Caenorhabditis elegans: one gene and its partner. The protein of the gene in region 1 interacts with the protein of each later gene in a biochemical or structural test. Each region holds a gene or a part of one and is shown on either strand. Other genes may lie near its edges. The genes, in order: pgl-1 and let-363.

Region 1 (5,270 bases):
AGACTTGCACTCCCTATTAGTATTGCCCCTCGGAGACGTTCCGAAAATTAGTATTGCACACCCTATTAGTCTTGCACTCTCTAGTAGTCTTGCGTTAACTTTTTTGTATTGCAAACCCGTCTCGCTAATTTTAGGATTTCAACATTTTTTTGCCTATTTTGCAACAGTTTTCACATCATTTCTACGAGATCGAAGTTTTTGAACTTATATGAAAATCAAATTTTCTGAATTTTTACATATGATTCGAGCTTTTTCAGGAAAAAACTAGTAAGCTCAAAGTCAGAAAATGCTCTGAAAATTAGTATTGCACTCCCTAATAGTCTTGCATTCCCTATTAGTATTGCAAGCGGGAAGACCATCGAAAAATAGTATTGCAGCCATATTAATAGAAGAAATACGGTATTTGTTATGTTCGAATGCAGATGTCTCATAACGATTTACAACTCTAATATGCGTAAATGTATGATAAGATCAGTTGAAATTGTATAAGAATGCATGCAGTGCCACCTGTTAATTTTATGATCCACCAATCATTCGGCACCGTCGATTCAGACATCACTTTTCTCATCAAGCCGCAGAAAGAGATATACGTGTAATTAATTGAGTTAATTTCTTGCAACAATCTAGTTCAAACATTTACCGGGAACAAGGAAAAACAGGTTGAATAAATAATAAATGACAGTCAAGGTTTTAGGGATTTTACAACAAGATTGTTAGAATAAATAATGTGCGTAAAACGTGTAAGTATACAAGAAGTGTATACTTAAAAAACAAATTAAACATTCAATAGTTGGAGTTTAGAAACCTCCGCGTCCACCACGACCCCCGTAACCACCACGTCCACGATCTCCGCCGTATCCACCTCGTCCTCCGCGGTCTCCCCCGCCGTATCCACCTCTACCTCCACGATCTCCGCCGTATCCACCTCTGCCTCCACGGTCTCCACCGCCATATCCTCCGCGACCACCTCCTCCTCCATAAGCTGAACTGGTGGGAGCAAATTGACCGAATCCTTTTGCAACTTTGGCTTCCCCAAATCCACTGACTTTGTATTGATTAGTCGGGGCAGGAAGAGGCATTGGAGTAGCGTCGCCTGACCCCCATGCAGTTTCAGCACGAGCTTGTGGTTGTGGTGTAGAATCTTTGTCAGCAACTGTGGTTTCCTCTTCATCTATCTGCTGCATGCCCTGAAAGAAATATTTTTATAATTCTGAAACGATGAACGCGATACCGGTGGCAGAGCTACTGATTTCGTTGGAGAATCCCAGCCATCGGTGGAAAAACTTGGCGCTACTTCTGGCGAAGCACTTGAAGAAGTATCTTGATTGGCATCCGAAGCCATCTCGATCTCGTTAACTGTTTGCTGTTGTTGTGCATCGTTAACCTTTTCTGGGACAGGATCGACCGCTTTTACAGTAACACCTTCTCCAATGTTTCTTGATGAGCTTAGCAAAGTCGAAGAATCCACTTCGTCACAAGAAATCTCCTGAAGACTGAGTGAATCCTTTGAATCGACAAGTAACCCGGAAGAATTGGTATCACTGAGACCGTTGAGAACTTGAGCTTTAGTATTTACGCTGTATGTGTTGTGAACCGTCGTCATTTCCTCTTTCGTGTAGGCGGAATCCTGCTGTTGGGAAGTGGATGGTTGCACATTGCTCTTTCTGCCACTTGGTGTATCGGACAAACAACACTTCTCCAGTGATTCAACAATTCGAGTGACATGAGTCTTCGAGTTGATTCCTTGAACAAATTCTGAAATTAAAAAGTTAACAGGAGATAAAAAAAGGAATATTCACTCTTGAAGCTATCGACGAGAAGATTTTTTGAAGTGGAATCCAAGAAACGAAGCTCGCCCAGCGCTTCAGTCTCATTCTCGGATCCGTAAAACTCTGTAAGCCACAGTGCAAACTGTAGAGCTTTATTCACATTATCGATCACCGCATCATTGTTTAGTGGACTCTGAGGAATCTGAAAAACGGTCATGTAAGTAATGTTTATAGAATCATTAACTCACCAGTGGAACGGGCTTATCGAAGCATTGCTCTAGAATTGAGACTTGGAACTTCTTGATAAGTTCCGCAATGGCTCGTCTTTTCCAGGCGCTCTCCAAGTCTTTCGCGACTCCAACAACATCCCAATCCTCAAAAGACTTCTTAGCTGAAATATTTAGATTTTAAAAGTAAACAAAGACGAAAATACTAACATCCTAAAAGAACTTGGATGATGTGATTGCCGAGGAACACCGCACTCTTGTAGACACTTCTTTGCAATCCTGGAAAGACTTCCGCTCTGACACTCGTAGGAATCCCAGAGAGGATTTTCTTGGAAACCTCGCGCTTTCCATCTGCAAGTGAACGAACGATAAGGAAAAAGAGCTGATATCCGAGTTGAGATCTCAAGACAAGTGACTCGTCTCCTTCATTTTTACTCGCTTCCTCGAAAAGTTGAGCGATATGGTTCACAACTTTCCCAACAGACTCTTCGAGTGGATCCATGAGGAGACTAATGAATGGATCGGCAGGTTCAGATTTCGGACCATCCAACCTAAATTGAAAAAAAAAATCGAATTATTTTGAAAAGGACAACAATTACATCAACTGTTTCAACAACGGCTTGCAGCTATCAAATGCGTTGACGACGTTATCACGGATAATGTCGACCTCGTCGCTAGTCTCCTCAGAGATAAGTCCGAGGATTTTAGTTAGGACATAAACATCAAAGTCCAGATCCAGTTGGCTGACAAGTTCCGTGAGCTCAACAAACTTTTCGGCGGCATCATCGATTGCGATTACTTTGAGAAGAGCTTGAAGAATCTTAGCGTCTTCAGTCTTCTTCAGCTTGGCCTTACGGGCGAGCATTCCGAGCTTCTTGTCGTCATCGATGACAGAAACCAGATCATGAGCATGTCCCAATCCTGACAATTTCTCAGCAGCAGCATCAAATTTCGGACGCTAAAACGTTATAATTGATTACAATAAGTTTAATTCACACTTACAAATTTATCTCCGAGAAGAAGACAAACGTCCATGCCAGCAGCAATAACGGCAGCGTTAGCGTCGTTCGGCAAGATCATCTCCAAAATGTCTTCGTCTCCAGGAGCGTCTTTGGAAGCTCCCAACACGAAAGCAGCCAACTTATTGGCCTGAAATTGAATAATAGAAAATCGGTCTTTAAATATTATAGTCCAACCTGAGATGTATTGTTGAACAGTTCTTCGTCATTCTTCGTGATGTAGTGGGCCAAATTTGGGAAAAAGTAGGATCTCAGCCCACCGAAATCCACAATTTCTCGCTTGTTAGCCTCCATGTGAAATGGATGAAACTGAAATAAATATTTAAATTTTTAAAAAATTTTTCGAGATTAGAATTCAAAAAAACGCAAAATTTACCCAAAAAAGTAAGAAAACGGAAAAGAAAATTGGGACGAGATCGAAATTGCAACTTCCGCGTTCGCGTCGAGTTGTTCGTTTCGAGACCCGTAGATCTGAAACTTCCATGCGCCTTTAATAATTTCTAAGTTTCTGAACTATTTCCAGATTTATTTTACCTATTTTCTAGTTTTTTTTTTCAAATCAAAATATGTTTAATCAATGCGGGGTTTTATAATTAAATAATATGTTTAACTTGTTATAGATTTTATAGATATTATTTTTTAAACATTTTAATTTGTTTCACGATGATATTTCAGTAATTGTAGGTTTGCGATGGCGACGAAAGAGCAGATTGTTGAGCACCGCGAGTCTGAAATTCCTATAGCCAGCCAGTGGAAGGCCACGTTTCCCGTTGATCTAGAGATTGAAAAAAATTCTGAAATGTTTGCGCTTCGCTACATAAAATGTGCTTCGGCCTTCATTCTCGATCGCCGTGGCATTTTGGACGAAAAATGCTTCAAAACTCGAACAATAGGTATGGCTTATTTTACAATGTATCACAAATATTTTTATACAGATAAACTGTTGGTCACCGCATTCCAGAGCAGTGTTCCTGCCGCAAAGCGTGTGTCTTCAACATTCGACGGATTGAGAGATGCGATTCAACAAGGCTATTTGCGAGAGTTCGCAATCGTGTTCTACAAGAAGCCAAACGAGGAAGACATTAATGAAGTGTTTGCGTTCAGGTTTGCTTATGGAGATGAAGGAGAGATTTTCGTATCTCTAAATAAGTAAGCTGCTGGTCTTATTCAATTATTCGTTTTCAATTGTTTTCAGCGGAATCGACACGAACGAAAGCAGTCAAGAACTGTTACAGGCGAAATTCGTTGATACCGACAACACGAAACAAATGTTTGCAAGCACAATCAAGAAACTTCACCGGTGTATCAAGAAAATGGAGCCGCTTCCTCAAGGGTCCGACGCGAGTTTCCGTGTTTCGTACACTGAAAGTAGGTTACATTCACAGCTTTAGTCTATTTCTAACTGTTATTTTAAGAAGCTCCAAAAGACTATACACCCGAAGGCTATCTGCTGAGTCCTATGTTCTATACGCTGAATCAGGATATTAGGAAAGCATCTATTGGAATCGTGTGTGGCGGTCATCACAAAATTCAAATGCTTGCTGCTTCACAATACTTGAAGCAAGACTTCGATCTGGATAAAACGACCACACTCAATCCAAATATGTCAATCATGGCAAACCAATCGAAAAGGAAGGGACGAATTTCCAGAGATTCCCCTTACGGTCTCAGTCAGGGCATTACGAAGAAGAATAAGGACTAGTCGAAAAGTTTTCACTCATGTGCAATGTTTCTCTTGTTTTATATTTTTAGCCATTGTTTTTATAATTTCATTGATTGTCGTGCTTTTGTCTTCTCTTGTGTGATATCAATCTATCTTCTTCACGTATAGTTTCATCTGTTTGATTGAGTTATTTTTCTTTCACTGTAAGTCTGGTGTTTCGTAGATTTAGAAAAAAGTAGCGTAATAAATTATTTTGAAATGGACCAAACATTCAAATCCAGTTCAGATAAATTTATTTCATTGAAGCAGTGTTGGAATTCGGACAAATGAGAAGTGAATATTCATTTGAAATAAGTTTTACATTACTTGCACTGTTGGCTGGGTGTTAAAAATAGGTTCAATATTGAATTAATAAAATGGGACAATTCACCGTGCAGAAAAAAACGAAGGAAAAGGCTTAAAATTGAAGAAGAAGTATAAAAGAATCACATGGGCTTTTCAGGAATTCAGTAAATGTTTGGACAAGTATATCAAGATACTGTACATCTGGAACTTTTCTTTTTCTTTGCCATTCGAACACCGCCTCCCGACA
Region 2 (4,913 bases), on another chromosome or scaffold:
GAAAAAAATAAAACTTTAAAATTACAGTGCTATTTAAAGGCGGTTAATTCTCGTTTCGACCAGTTACCGTAGTTTCGAGTAAATACCTACCTTGATCATTAACAATAACCGAACAAACAGCTCGCAGCACACCATAAATAGTTTGAAGAAGACTATTTCTCTTGTCACTTGTAACTTTTTTATAAACTCCAACAAATGGTACGACCATTTCACAACACGAAGAGACAGCAGCCAAACGGATTTCCACATTGTCCGCTGTCAAGTAGTACTGAAAAACCACAAAATTACAGAAAAATCGAGAAAACTTTCGAACGTACATCTGCAACGTATTGCATGATTCTCTGCAAGGCACCTCTTGAGAAATAGAATTCACCGAGCACATCGACAGCCAGCACGATTCGTTGAAGCTCTTTTGGATCGGTTTCTGCTTTCTGAAATATAAATCTTTTGCATAAATACAACCCCAAAACTCTCATTTGAGATTTTTTGAATTTACTTCTTTGCACAACAGAAATATCGCCAATGAGAAATATATTTAAAACCATTGTTAATGCTAACATGATAAAATATCATAGGAAATCTGTTCGAAAAATTTAAATTTTAAAAAGTCGCCATTTCTATTTTCTTATTTTGCTGATTATGAAAATATTTGAAAACCCCGCAAAGTTTAGGTTTTTTTTTCGATTTTTCGGCTTTTAAATTTACGATTTCTGGAAACAAAAATCAAAAATTTCGAAAAATTTCTGGTCATTTCTCTATTTTTCAAAAGATAATTTCGATAAATTTATAGCTTCTCTGTCTTTTGTTTTTCGAACATATCTGAAAAAAGCGAAAAATCATACAAATTTTTAACGACGCCCTTGGTTCGAATATAGAAAAATGTCGAAACTTTGACGGAAAATTATTTCAAAAAAGATAAAATTGTAAGCGTTTTTAAATCTGATGGGATTCTGATCTTTATTTAAAAAATGTTATGTGCTTTTCAGATTCAAAAAAATTACTTCGAGCAAAATTATAAAATTTCTCTACGAAACAAACCTGCAAAATAGCTTTAGGACTCGCAGGCCTTCCAATCGGTTCGGATTTTGGTGGAATTAGAGATCCAGTGAGTGTTTGATAGACAGAAGCCATAACACCATCTTGAACATTCAGCCGCAGTTTCGGAATTCTCATCATAATCATTTTTAGCACGTTTGCCAGCGATCGAGACAGGGTAATATCCATTAATTGTGGAATTATTGCCTTGATTTGTGTCGTCACTTGTTCGTGATAAGCATCCACAAATAGGAACAGGAATGTGAAATAATTATCGAGAACATCAGAATTCGTCGTTTTTCTACAAAATTTAACTATTAAAAAAAGTGTACTAATTTCAAATTTACTTGATAGCAGCAGAGATAAAACTGATTGTTTTCTCGATATGTGTGGCATGTACATCTGGATTCGAGAGCATCATCATTCCGATTGCTGGAGCAGCGACCGCATTTCTTTGAAGACTGAAAAAATTGAACATTATTGGAAATTTTGAATCACCATAATTTTTTTTGAGTCTCGTTACAAAATTCGTTTTTAGCGCATTTCGAGTCTATAAAAGCTAAAAGCCCATAAACATCAGTCCTCTTCCATTCTACGTACATAGTAAATGAAGTGTCGAATGAGATTGTTTGAAAAGTTCGATCACATTGTGGAAATGCACAAATTCTTGGTAGAAGCTGCATGAGAACTGTATTCAGGTAAATCGAGCTTTGCTGTTTCGTGGATGAAGTTTTGTTTGCGAGAGGTATTATCTGACGAACACAATCGAGTATCTGGAAAAAAACATAACAAATTTCGGGAAATGAAGAATTTCAGCTTTTACCTTCGGAAATCGTTCCAAAACCAGCTTTCGAGCAGTCACACTTTCCACAATAGTTTGTTGCCTTAAAAATACAAGTTTTTAAATAGATGAAAAAGAATCGATTACTTAGTTAGGACAAGCCATTCAACACCTTCTTCTTCGTCTTCTTTCAAAAACTTTTGTTTAATAAACTGTGAGGATTCACATCTGATGAGTTCGAATCGTTGATCAGAAATTCGAAGAAGTTCATTGAGAATCAGGGCGACGGCATGCCATCTATCCAAATCGTCCTTTTGCGATGGGTTTGGTTGACCTTCCAGTGCTTCATCGAAACATTTCTGGAATATAAAATCATTCTAACGAAAGATCAAAATTTTAATTGATCACCTTAAACCACTCAGTTTTATTCTTTGCTTCACGCTGTGAAACAATTGTCAAAACCACGTGTAATGCATCAATTCCGGCGATTCTTACAGCTGGATTCTTGTCTCTGACAGCGTTGAAGATATACTTGAAAAATAAGTTTACACGAAGAAAGAATGCTGTCGGTGTGGCCAGTGCGAGCTCACGAGAGAGGTGTGAAGCGGCGAGTCGACGAATTTGATCAATTTCCTGTTGATTTTTGGGTTGCTGACTATGTGGAACATTTTGACCAAGCCATTCGTGGCAATGATCAAGACAACGATCAACCAGCTCGGCCGCGTATGATTTACAAGTCTGCAAATGTTTAAAATTGGTTTAAAAAAAATTAAATTACTTACCGCAATCAGAAAAGCGAGAGCTTTTGAAGCCATCTTGACTGTATCTTCATCTAATCCATTTCCATTATTTAACATTTTCAGAAGATAATTCGCATATCGAATAACATTTCCAGAATGAGTTTCAGCTAAGCACACGATGAGATAGATACCGGCTCGTTTCTGATCGATATTTGAATTCGACTTCATACAATTATAAATTGCACTCTGAGAGGCTATATCTGTTCGTCCATCGATTGCATTCAGGAAAGCATCACTAAAAGTATTTGGCTCGTCTTTCAGCTCACTTCGAACATATCTGAGGAAAATAATATATTTAATTTATTGACTTTTATTTAAAAAAAAAACTACCTGCTGAGTTCTCGAGCAGCCTGTCGTTGATTTGCATCTCTATTTTCCGTAATTCGGCTCCGATATTGTGAAGCAAGAGCTCTTGCAGCATCAATCCCTTGCTGAAATATGATTTTTTTTTCCTTAAAAATTGTTTAAAGGAGAAGAAATACTAACTTTACGATGCCGCTCGTCAAATTCATTTGTAGCTGGAGCGGAGACTATTCGATTGGAAGTTGTGGCTGCTTTGTTCTGTCTATCGGCATTCATTTGAAAACTAATTCCGTGTTGTTGGAGCATTTTTCAAAGATGTTTCTGCCGATTTAGTGCATTGTGGGCTTAAAATTACGTTAAGAATAAAAAGTTATGAGAATGATCAGAAGCATAGAAAATCACTGGTTTTTTTCCGAAAATAAAATTATTTCCAGCTGAAATAATCAAGAAAGTGCTCAAAACTGGCCGTTTTCAGAAAAATATAGCTTGATAGTTCGATAATAGACAACTTTCAGGTAATTTTTTACCACTTTTTAAATTTTTTTCAGCTAAAAATTAGGTTTTTTTTCCTATGTAAATCAAGGGATTTTCAATGAAAAATATGAGAACAACACGGAGCCTTTTGTAATATCAGATAACTATGGGCTGACAAAACCCGTTGCATATTTCAAAATATCAAGAAAAAAGAACAATGGATATTCTTTGAAAAACTAAATAAACTGAGGAAGGAAGCAAAGCAAACAACATTTTTAAAAGCCTACTCGAAAACAAAAAAAATATCTAGAAACAACTTTTTATCGATTGAAAACTCGTGGAGCTCCTCTCTTGAATCTGTCCATGTCTTCTGTTCGTGCCGCTCGTCTCTTCTCATCATCCAATCTATCTCGATTTTTCATGAATTCTTTTTCCTGCCAAAGCTTCTGCATCACGTAGGCATCGTCGTCGAGATATGGAGTTTCGTATTCTTTCTGGCCGAGTTGAGGTGGTGCAAAGTGTTCTGTGGCTTGTTTTCTGGAACATATTTTTATTTTAAAAAAATTAATTTTATCAGGAACTCACTGATATGTAAATCCAGCGAATGAAGTGATTGTTCTCTTGCGTGGAGCCGCGGATTCTCCAGTTTCCAAACGGAAGACCGCATCATTTCGCTCGTGAACTACTGATTCTATACGATCCATTGTCTGAAATATATCATTTTGCATTTATTAAATTTTTAAAATATACCTCATGAACACGATCAAGTCTCTCTGGGTTTGGCATGTTCCGGGCACGTGAAGTGTGCGCTTTTTTCATCGTTATCAGCATATTTCGCTCCTTCAAGCACACATACCTTAAATTTAAATTTTTAATAAATTTAAAACCGAATTGCCATTAAATTACCAAAGCTTATGCAAATCTGAATTGCTTTTTAATCTCAGTTCTTCTGCTGTCCACGATCTGCCCGGCCGATGTTTCGGGCGGAGCTCTGCTTTTCCAAAATTCGCTTCATCATCGAAAAATTGTTTCATTGTACTGGAAAATCGTGTGTTGACGGCATTTTGTGATCTAAAAGAAGCAAAAATTAACTGGAATTCAACAAACTTCGATTTATCAACTAACCGAACAGCCGAAGACACCAAACTCGGTAAACTACGCCACATTGTAGATTTGAAGAACCTCAAAGAATGAAAATTGGTAAAATCAAAATTTTGCATATATAAAGAGCAAAATATTCAATAAAAACAAAAGAAAACATTAAAAAATAGAATATTTTGGAGAAAACCTTGCTGCCAAAAAATAATAAATGGGCGGCAAGTGCGCTCCACCGCACAATTGCCTCCCCCATAGCAGAGGTAATTCAAAAAATAGTTTTTTCTAGATAAAATTTCAATAGCAAGTTTTAATACTTTTAACATGGGTTTTCAGTAAAACATTGAATTAACTTCAAGTAATTATTTCTTGAAAAAATTCTTCGACAAAAAAGTTCATTTTAAGTCAGATATTAATTTTTGAAA

Evidence for each region.
Region 2: of the proteins of pgl-1 (region 1) and let-363, one has a biochemical effect on the other in vitro, tested with the Caenorhabditis elegans proteins (one study listed by BioGRID).

Annotation. Positions count from the first base shown.
Region 1 is NC_003282.8:6,973,820-6,979,089, forward strand, and holds pgl-1 (Guanyl-specific ribonuclease pgl-1), read right to left. Parts: upstream 3,500-5,270; coding exon 3,392-3,499; intron 3,325-3,391; coding exon 3,193-3,324; intron 3,146-3,192; coding exon 2,999-3,145; intron 2,955-2,998; coding exon 2,596-2,954; intron 2,548-2,595; coding exon 2,207-2,547; intron 2,161-2,206; coding exon 2,018-2,160; intron 1,972-2,017; coding exon 1,800-1,971; intron 1,756-1,799; coding exon 1,232-1,755; intron 1,188-1,231; coding exon 798-1,187; downstream 1-797. Other genes in the region: him-3 (HORMA domain-containing protein), read left to right, coding at 3,707-3,908, 3,951-4,164, 4,211-4,383, 4,431-4,717; prkl-1 (LIM zinc-binding domain-containing protein), read right to left, coding at 5,209-5,270. UniProt on the Caenorhabditis elegans protein: Guanyl-specific endoribonuclease which cleaves the phosphodiester bond in single-stranded RNA between the 3'-guanylic residue and the 5'-OH residue of adjacent nucleotide, resulting in the formation of a corresponding 2',3'-cyclic phosphate intermediate.
Region 2 is NC_003279.8:5,244,093-5,249,005, reverse strand, and holds the start of let-363 (Target of rapamycin homolog), read right to left. Parts: upstream 3,264-4,913; 5' UTR 3,226-3,263; coding exon 3,103-3,225; intron 3,048-3,102; coding exon 2,947-3,047; intron 2,894-2,946; coding exon 2,599-2,893; intron 2,555-2,598; coding exon 2,225-2,554; intron 2,176-2,224; coding exon 1,964-2,175; intron 1,920-1,963; coding exon 1,859-1,919; intron 1,809-1,858; coding exon 1,636-1,808; intron 1,497-1,635; coding exon 1,383-1,496; intron 1,337-1,382; coding exon 1,039-1,336; intron 432-1,038; coding exon 318-431; intron 269-317; coding exon 91-268; intron 1-90. Other genes in the region: mrpl-47 (Large ribosomal subunit protein uL29m), read right to left, coding at 3,714-3,930, 3,979-4,100, 4,144-4,249, 4,300-4,464, 4,519-4,613. UniProt on the Caenorhabditis elegans protein: Serine/threonine-protein kinase that regulates the mRNA translation machinery, probably by modulating the activity of translation factors such as eIF-4G and eIF-2. It may have some protein kinase activity instead of lipid kinase activity.